3 linked regions of the Kluyveromyces lactis genome follow. The protein of the gene in region 1 interacts with the protein of each later gene in a pairwise test. Links are inferred from orthologs where the notes say so. Each region holds a gene or a part of one and is shown on either strand. Other genes may lie near its edges.

What was found.
Region 2: the proteins of NCS6 (region 1) and NCS2 interact in binary tests that used the Saccharomyces cerevisiae proteins (3 or more experiments, as listed by UniProt). The link is inferred for Kluyveromyces lactis from reciprocal best matches to the Saccharomyces cerevisiae genes NCS6 and NCS2.
Region 3: the proteins of NCS6 (region 1) and URM1 interact in binary tests that used the Saccharomyces cerevisiae proteins (3 or more experiments, as listed by UniProt). The link is inferred for Kluyveromyces lactis from reciprocal best matches to the Saccharomyces cerevisiae genes NCS6 and URM1.

The regions. Positions count from the first base shown.
Region 1 is NC_006038.1:57,594-60,548, forward strand, and holds NCS6 (Ncs6p), read right to left. Parts: upstream 1,617-2,955; coding exon 501-1,616; downstream 1-500. Other genes in the region: ZRG8 (Zrg8p), read right to left, coding at 1-241; KLLA0_B00759g (kinesin family protein), read left to right, coding at 2,372-2,955. UniProt on the Saccharomyces cerevisiae protein: Plays a central role in 2-thiolation of mcm(5)S(2)U at tRNA wobble positions of tRNA(Lys), tRNA(Glu) and tRNA(Gln). Directly binds tRNAs and probably acts by catalyzing adenylation of tRNAs, an intermediate required for 2-thiolation.
Region 2 is NC_006042.1:2,237,222-2,240,377, forward strand, and holds NCS2 (Ncs2p), read right to left. Parts: upstream 1,893-3,156; coding exon 501-1,892; downstream 1-500. Other genes in the region: DCP2 (decapping enzyme complex catalytic subunit), read left to right, coding at 1-394; COX23 (Cox23p), read left to right, coding at 2,199-2,567. UniProt on the Saccharomyces cerevisiae protein: Plays a central role in 2-thiolation of mcm(5)S(2)U at tRNA wobble positions of tRNA(Lys), tRNA(Glu) and tRNA(Gln). May act by forming a heterodimer with NCS6 that ligates sulfur from thiocarboxylated URM1 onto the uridine of tRNAs at wobble position.
Region 3 is NC_006040.1:1,211,633-1,213,867, forward strand, and holds URM1 (ubiquitin-related modifier URM1), read right to left. Parts: upstream 807-2,235; coding exon 501-806; downstream 1-500. Other genes in the region: NAS2 (Nas2p), read left to right, coding at 1-445; KLLA0_D14201g (2-isopropylmalate synthase), read left to right, coding at 1,695-2,235.

The sequences.
Region 1 (2,955 bases):
CATTGGAGCTTTTCTTAAACAACTTAGAACTGAAAATTTTGTTACTAGTAAGTTTATGAAGCGGCTCGAAACTTGAAGATTGCTTTAAAACATTGTTAGGTGGGTACCCTGATGGATAAGATAGCTCAGTCCCAAAAGAACCTTGTGAGTTTCTCCTGTTTTCGGGACTTTCGTTGGAAGATTTTCTGGGGCTATTATCTAAAGATGAAGCTCTTTTATGAGTTTTTATAAAAGACCTCATTGTTGTTAAATTGTTAATGCGGTCTCAACGACCGTTATCGTGTTTTGTTATCCTACACCGTTGTGTATTTTCCGTCTTTGTATTGTTCATCATGCATTATTAGAACTTCTATTATATCTGAAATACTGCAGTTAAATTGCATTCATCAAAAAAAAATGTGCAACTGTAACGATTTTGAGATGTAAATAAAATAATTATAAATATGGTAATATTTAGTAAAGACATGCAGGAAGGAGTACTAAAATGAGCAGCTAATAGTTCAGAACTGTAATTTCTCAAGAGTTCTTGATAGTTTTGCAGCTCCCTCAGTAGTTGAATCTTTTTCAAGTTGGATCTTAGCTCTGTTTTGTTCCAATCCCTCTAAAAGCATGCACGCTTTACATATCTTATTACTGGAAAGATATCCGCATCTTTCGCATCTGTTTCCATCGATAAACTCATTTTGTAATGACACTGAGCCATCGGGCCGTATTTCCATGTGACTTGGTGGTGGTGCCTTCTTAGCGCGCTTTGGTTTTAGCTTCAAGCTTTCTCCGCTGTGAATGATGTCGATAATGCAACTTGGTCTGATTGCTTCCAGGTTCTTCATGAGTTCTCTAGCGGTACCTCTAAACGCTTCCGGGGCATAAGAACACTCGGTTGAAAAGTAGTCTAATTTCTTATAGTGGGCATACAAGACAATTTCCTTTTGGTATGAATACTTGAACGGCTTCGACCTCTTGATCGGTGACCCACTACTCTGAGTAAGAATGGATGTTGATTTTTCCAGCCTGGCAACATCACCACGTAAAATGTTCATCAAGACGGTTTCCGCCATATCATCCGCATTATGACCAGTAACTACATGTTTGATTCCTAGCTTGGCAGCTCCTCTGTCTAGAGCTTGTCGCCTGAAGACTCCGCAATAGGTACAACTGTTTCTTATGCCAGCGCATGCTACGATCTCATCCATTGTCCAATTGTACAAATCTTTATAAGATACTATTTCCAACGGAAGGTCATACTGTACTTGATTTCTCTTCACTGTAGCTAACGAATCGTCTCTATATCCGACAATACCCTCATCAATACTCAAAAGAACAATCTCAACTCCATAATCATGGCGATCATTCAAAAGCTTTAAAACGTATGCTAAGACCGTGGAATCTTTACCTCCAGAAGCACCGACTGCAATACGTTCGCCTCGGTGAAAAAGGTTGTTTGATACAATGGTGTTATGTATTTCTGTCTCGAATACAGAGAAGAAACACTCTTTACAGATCCGTTGTAAATTCTTCGGTCTTTTCATCACTGCCTTTCTCGCATGGCATAGTTCACAGAGCTGTGAGACCTTTACCTTGACGGATTTCTTCGGATCAGTCGGTGGTGTAAACATGGAGACTTGATTTGTCTGACTGTATAGCGGTGTGTTACACGATAATGGGATGTTTTTGGCTGTTTCATAAACAATGATCTTATCTTCTACTCATCTCGATGAAGTTGACCATTGGGATGCATAAAATCTTTCAAAAGAAATTCTACATAGCGCTGTCACATTTGCGGGTAACAGTAAATATGTACTGTCGATTTTTGATATAATGAAAGTGACACACCGTAATCGCTGGTTTAAGACTGGAGATTCGACAAGTGAAGATCACTTGAGGGTACTATGTATTGTATGTACTTAACCCCTTCATTTAACATAGCGAATTCAATTTTGAAACCTTACTGATATAAATTACCATTTACACTTTTATTCTTTTTTGCAAGAGAAAGTACATTCACGTACAAAAATCATAATAGATAACATAGTCGCTTACATCGTTACCGTCAATTCTTGCAAATATTTTTCAGACGCGTACTTATATTAATGCTTTCACTCTTCTAAAATAAACAATTCAACATTTAGACAACAAGGTCAATGCTTGGTTTTTAGTTGGATGTACTCTTTCAACGTATATTTTCAACATTACACAAGATTTGACACATCACATTAAATTCGAAAAGTAAACAATTCTTAAAACACTATAAAATGGAATAAGAACTGAAAAGTGTATTGTACAAGGCATGCAACTTGCTCAGTTAACTCAAAAGGAATAGGCAATGTTCATTTGGTTGCACATTCCATACTGAAGTGGACGGTAACACACTATGAGTGAAAATGTGCAGGTTGTTATTCGTTTACGACCGGTACACACGAAGACGAATTTTAAGGTTCAAAATCAAACTATATCTACTGTGGAACCACCACTGAGGTCATTCAATTTCGATCATATATTTGATACATCGTCATCACAGACTGATATACCTGGAGAGTTATGTTCCAAGTACGTCTTGCATGCCCTGGAAGGTTATAATGCTTGCATTTTTGCATATGGACAGACGGGATCTGGTAAAACATACACAATGCGTGGGACTAATTCAAACCCAGGAATTATCCCGTTACTTTGCCGTGACTTATTTGATGCCTTAGAACTGGATAAAACAACGGTATCTTCCGTGTCAATAACATACTTTGAGATTTACAACGAGAAACTTATAGATTTATTAGGCGATACATCGCCGAGGGTGCGTGAAACAAATGATAAGAAAACTTTTGTACAGGACATCACTACTTTCAAAGTAAACAGAGTGGAAGAAGTGTTGGAGTATTTGTCTATAGGTGACTCAAAAAGATCTGTTGCATCAACTCGGATGAATATGGAATCCAGCCGCTCGCATGCCATATTTACGTT
Region 2 (3,156 bases), on another chromosome or scaffold:
ATTGAAGAATCCCAAGACCGGCCTAAACTCGCAAATATCGGACGATCCTGTGACACACAACACCCAATACAATAGGATGCCTCCTCTGCAAGTACAGCCTCAACAGCCTTTCCAAATGCAGCAAATGCAGCAAATGATGCCACCTCCAGGTTATCCTCCCCAAAATATGTCATATATTCCCCAAGGCTTCTCTCCTCAGCAGCAATTCCAATATCAGCAACCGATTAATGGATATCCTATGCAACCTCAGCCACTTAACATGGGACAACCTGCACCAAACCAAGGTTTTACTAAACAGCAAGAACTTTTGAATATATTACACAAGCCAAATGCTCCTGTTCAAGAAACTCCTTCCAACCCTTCATCTGAATTATTGAGTATCTTGAAAAGATGAGACATTACAGCATTTCGCAATTTCACTTACATATATTTATATATGAGACTTTTCATCTAAGGAATATTTTGATAGTTCAGCTGTATAATTGAAAGAGCTAAATCTATTATTGTTCAGAATCATCTGATGGGATTTCATACTCTTGAAGAACCGCTGTTAGTTCTGCTTTATCATCTCTTCGTATCCACTCTAACTTTCTATCTTTCATGCCAGTTAGAGTGGTAATACAACCGTAACACACGCCTACATTCTTGGCAGGAGTATCACTCATTTTGTTTAGTTTTTCGGCTTTGTCTGGATTAGCTGCCTCCCAGGCATTGTAGTTGGTCAGTTCTTCCTCATTATGAATCACAAATGGCTTGCTAACTGTGATACCGTCAAGCCAATTTACTGGATTCTTATAAATAATGGCATTGCAAATACTACAGTGCATGATTTGATTTAGTTCATTATCAGGGTTAGATAATTTTGCACCTGTTCTAACAACTGTAGATATCACGTTTGAGTAATCACCTTCAATGTTATCAAAATACTGTCTCGCGAGTTCATTCATCGTCATATTTTTGATAAGTTTGACATTTTTGGTAGGCTTGTCCACAAATTTGTCATAAAACAAAGTGTCCTGGACAACATAATTATGAGAGAATTGCGAAAGCCCTTTTATATGACAGTAAGCATCAATTTCTGACAGTAAAACGTCCCGGCCTGGATGAAAGTTTCTGAAGGCGGTATTATATTTACTATCGAGGGAAGAATCATCAAGATAACCTGCGATTTCTGCACCACGTCCTTTAACAGTCAGACTAATGACTTCATCAGCTAACTTTGTCATCGAGTGACCCCATAAGATGGCTTTGAAATTTCTTTGTAAGGCAAATTTCTTAATCAAATGGGTATAAATAATGTTCAAAAGATCTTCTTTCGCTGTTTTGTTAGGCGCGCTGGCAAGCACTTTCTCTACAGTAGTACTTGGATTATTTGATGATCTTACCAGAGTGTTGAAGTTATCAATGTACAGTGTAATTTCTTGCAGATCAAACGGCACGGCAAAGAATTGATTTCTGTCAACAATATGGAACAGAATCTTATCGGAGTTTTCTTTATATTTTGATTTCAGAAGTTCAATCTTACCGCGCACTTCTTCAAACTCTGCCTGTCCACAAATCGTGATTACTTCTACGTGAAATCCAGTTTTTCCCCGGTGTGTTTGTTTCTGCTCCAACAAAGTATCGTTCAAGATATCTAAAACTGCCAAAGAAGAGGATCCCAAAGAAAGCGGCACGAGAACATTGGAATCTTGATTTTGCTTATCAGCTTCTGCCTGACCACGTTTCTTATCTGGATATGAGATTTTGAATATATCTTGGAAGTAGTCATCAGACATCATCTGCTTCCTCTGTTTCAAAGAAATAAATTTCACGAAACATTCATCACAAAATGGTTCTTTTCTCGAGACTAGAGTTGCATCCAGCAGCTTACACCTTTTACAAATGACCATGATAGTTGGACGCAGCGATAAGGTTTGCAAGCACGTATTAACAGGCTTTTATTTGATTCAGTGACTAGTTACTATTAAGAGATGAGATGAGATGAGATTGATTTTCTTTTTTTTTTTTTTTTATTTTCATTTCACTGTGGTTGTTAACATGAAATTTCAATCTAGAAATTTTGGAGTTCTGAAAACCATAGTAAAATATTGAAATGTTAAAATGAATCCAGATGAACTAGTAGCAGATGAGTTACTGGTAAAGGGGAAAATAAAAAAAAGGCTCAAGCTAGCAACTTACTGCCTTACTAACAACAAATGACCGATAAACAAGAAACAACACAACCAGCTGAAAAGCTGCAACAGCCTGAAAAGGTGGCAGAGAACGTCGACCCCAGTCTCGAACTCAATAAGACTAAGGTCAATTTTACACCGGAAAAGACTGATGTCAACACCTACAAGTTCTATCCTGATGATCCAGAATCTACGTTGAACAGATACAGATTTGCAGTGAAAGGTGCTTCTGAATACTACGACCCATGCCAGGAATCATCTAAAATGTCTTTCAAGTGCCTTGAATTAAACAACTACGACAGAGACCTATGCCATGACTATTTCGACGCTTACAGAGAGTGTAAAAAGCAGTGGTTGAAGGCCAGAAGAGAGAAAAGAGAATTTTGGGAATAATTCAACCACATCTGCATGTAAATAGCGTACTTAATGAGAAGTAACTTTCTAATCAATAGCATGAATTATTTATTGATAATGAGCATGATCCTCCATTCCCATATTGAACGACATAAGCTAACAAACGGAACCTGAATAAACAAAAAAAGAAAATAATAACACAAGTTGAAAGTACAGATCACGTGACATAAAGGAATTGATATTACCCGTCTTTCCGAATATTCTCCATTGCTCCTAACTATTGGAATCCGACTCGCGCTCCCTCCAAAACATGGTTTCGGACCCCACATGTAAAGATTTCGACCCAAAAAATATTCCAGATCCCAAACCGAAAAAAAAAAAAATGCAGCTTCCCATTCCGATCAAACACAAATACGGATTATTACGAGCAGCATCAGAGATTCCCATAGGTAAGAAGTTTCCGTAATCGAAAAAAAAAGTAGAAAAGTGCAAAATTAATTATGATATATAAAAAGTTTTGTAAACATTGAGCTATTGTATGGAACAGGACGAACGAAAGCCTCAGGAAATAACACTCAGTAGTAAGCATCAATAGGATCTAGCAGATTTTCATTGATTGAGATATAGG
Region 3 (2,235 bases), on another chromosome or scaffold:
AATTAAACGTAACGTAAACGTATTGAGAAACGATTTGAGACGAATCATCGAAAGAGTCGAGTATCTATTGCCACTTGAATTTGAATCGCTTAATAAGCAAAACGCAACTGTAGGAAAGATGCAGACGCTTGAAATGGGAGATAGCAACGAGGATTCAGATCTAAATCTAGATTCTTTGATCGCTTTTGCAAAAGTGGTGGACGTAAAATTAGGATCTCCAAGTCATGACGCAGGATTACAAACAGATGATCTTATCATTAAATTCGGCACCGTACATGCCCTTAACCACAATAATCTATCCAATATCGGTAAACTTGTTCAAACTCGTATAGATGAAGAGATCGTACTTAAGATAAAGAGAAATAATGATATCGTTACTATACAGTTGGTACCTAGGTCCTGGCAAGGCGCAGGGTTACTAGGATGCAGGATAATACAAATTTGAATGAGAGGACAGCATATAATGCATATATATTCAACATCTCGGCAGTTTTTCCAGATCATCCACCGTGTAGCGTTGAGGTGAACGAAACAACGTCACCGTCTTCCAATACGTACTCTTTTTCACCTTCAAGTTCCCAATCGGTATCGTTGATCAAAGTCAAAATTCCTGGTCTGATACTATCGTTCTCTAAGAAAACATTCACGTCACCTTCATGTTCAATAAGGTTATCTACGATCCATTGGATTAAATCTCCGACATTGATCTCATCCTTCCCATCCAGTTGAACATCCACTTTATATTGTCTCTGTTTCTTGACAATAACATCCAATCCACCTAGAAATTCAATAATAACTCTGACCATTGTGGATTAATTTATCTGATATGTCCTAGTTTGACCTTGACCTGTATGTGATGTTTAATCAGTATCTCAGTAGTGACATGTCAAAGCTCATCATTATATTTCTTGGGTCCTTGGTTTCTGCTGAGAGGGAAAACTCACAAAAAAAAAAAATCGGGTGGAAATGACTTTGTCAGGTCGATCGGTACACCAATCCCCAAATTCTCTTCAATAACAATTAATATGCTCGCGTGGCGTAATGGCAACGCGTCTGACTTCTAATCAGAAGATTGTGGGTTCGACCCCCACCGTGAGTGCTTTATTTTTTTCTCATTTTTTCCCATTTTTCTGCTCATTCATAGCTTTCCTTTAGAAGTCACGGGACCGAGTATACCAAATAAAACTAAAGTACCAACTATACCGTATAGTTAGTTACCCAACCGCAGGATATACACCTCACACAAAAATGGCATTCCCTCTCCAACAAATTGTCCATTCTTCCATCGATTTCTCTGTCACTTCCAGCTCCGTTCCGTTCCCTTCTTCCATACTATGGTGATGACTCTGAAAAATTTTTAAAGGCATCGAGAAAATTGCTGAGTAACACAGACAGACCTCTGCAGATGAGCGTACCTGCAAACCGGTTGATATTTCTTAGACTTTGATTATGGATGACCAGGGTAAATGAGTCAGTCAAGCTGCAAAGGGAAAGAAAATGTCATCAGGTTAATCAACGATTTGCCAAGTGCATTATGAGTAATAAAAAAAAGCTGATGATGTGTTGCTAACATTGATTCATATATATATACATACATTCAAAACTTGAAATCATTCATACCACCTTAATTTGGTTGGTAATTAAAAAGGAAAACCCATCAGGCACATAGAGAAGTAAAGAGTCATTAGAGCAAGATGCCATTCTACAAAGATCCTTCAGTGAAGTATAAACCATTCGTTAGCAACGTCAAATTACAGGACAGGAAATGGCCTAGTAAAACCCTTAATAAGGCTCCAAGATGGTTAGCTACCGATTTAAGAGATGGGAATCAGTCTTTACCTGACCCGATGAATTTGGAAGAGAAGAAACTGATGCTCGATAAGTTATGCGAATTGGGTTTCAAAGAGATTGAAGTTGCTTTCCCTAGTGCTTCTAATATCGATTTCCAATTCACTCAATATGCAGTGAAAAACGTACCAGAAGACGTTTCCATTCAAGTTCTTTCTCCATGTCGTGAACCCTTGATCGAACGTACCGTTGAATCTTTGGTCGGTGCCAAGAGAGCCATTGTACATATCTATCTCGCGACATCACCATGTTTCAGAGAAATCGTTTTCAACAATATGTCTCATGAAGAAAGTATTGAAAAGGCTGTGAAATGTGCCAAACTTGTTAGGTCCTTGACAAAAGACCATCCGGATAGACAAGATACCCATTGGTCATTTGAGTTTTCTC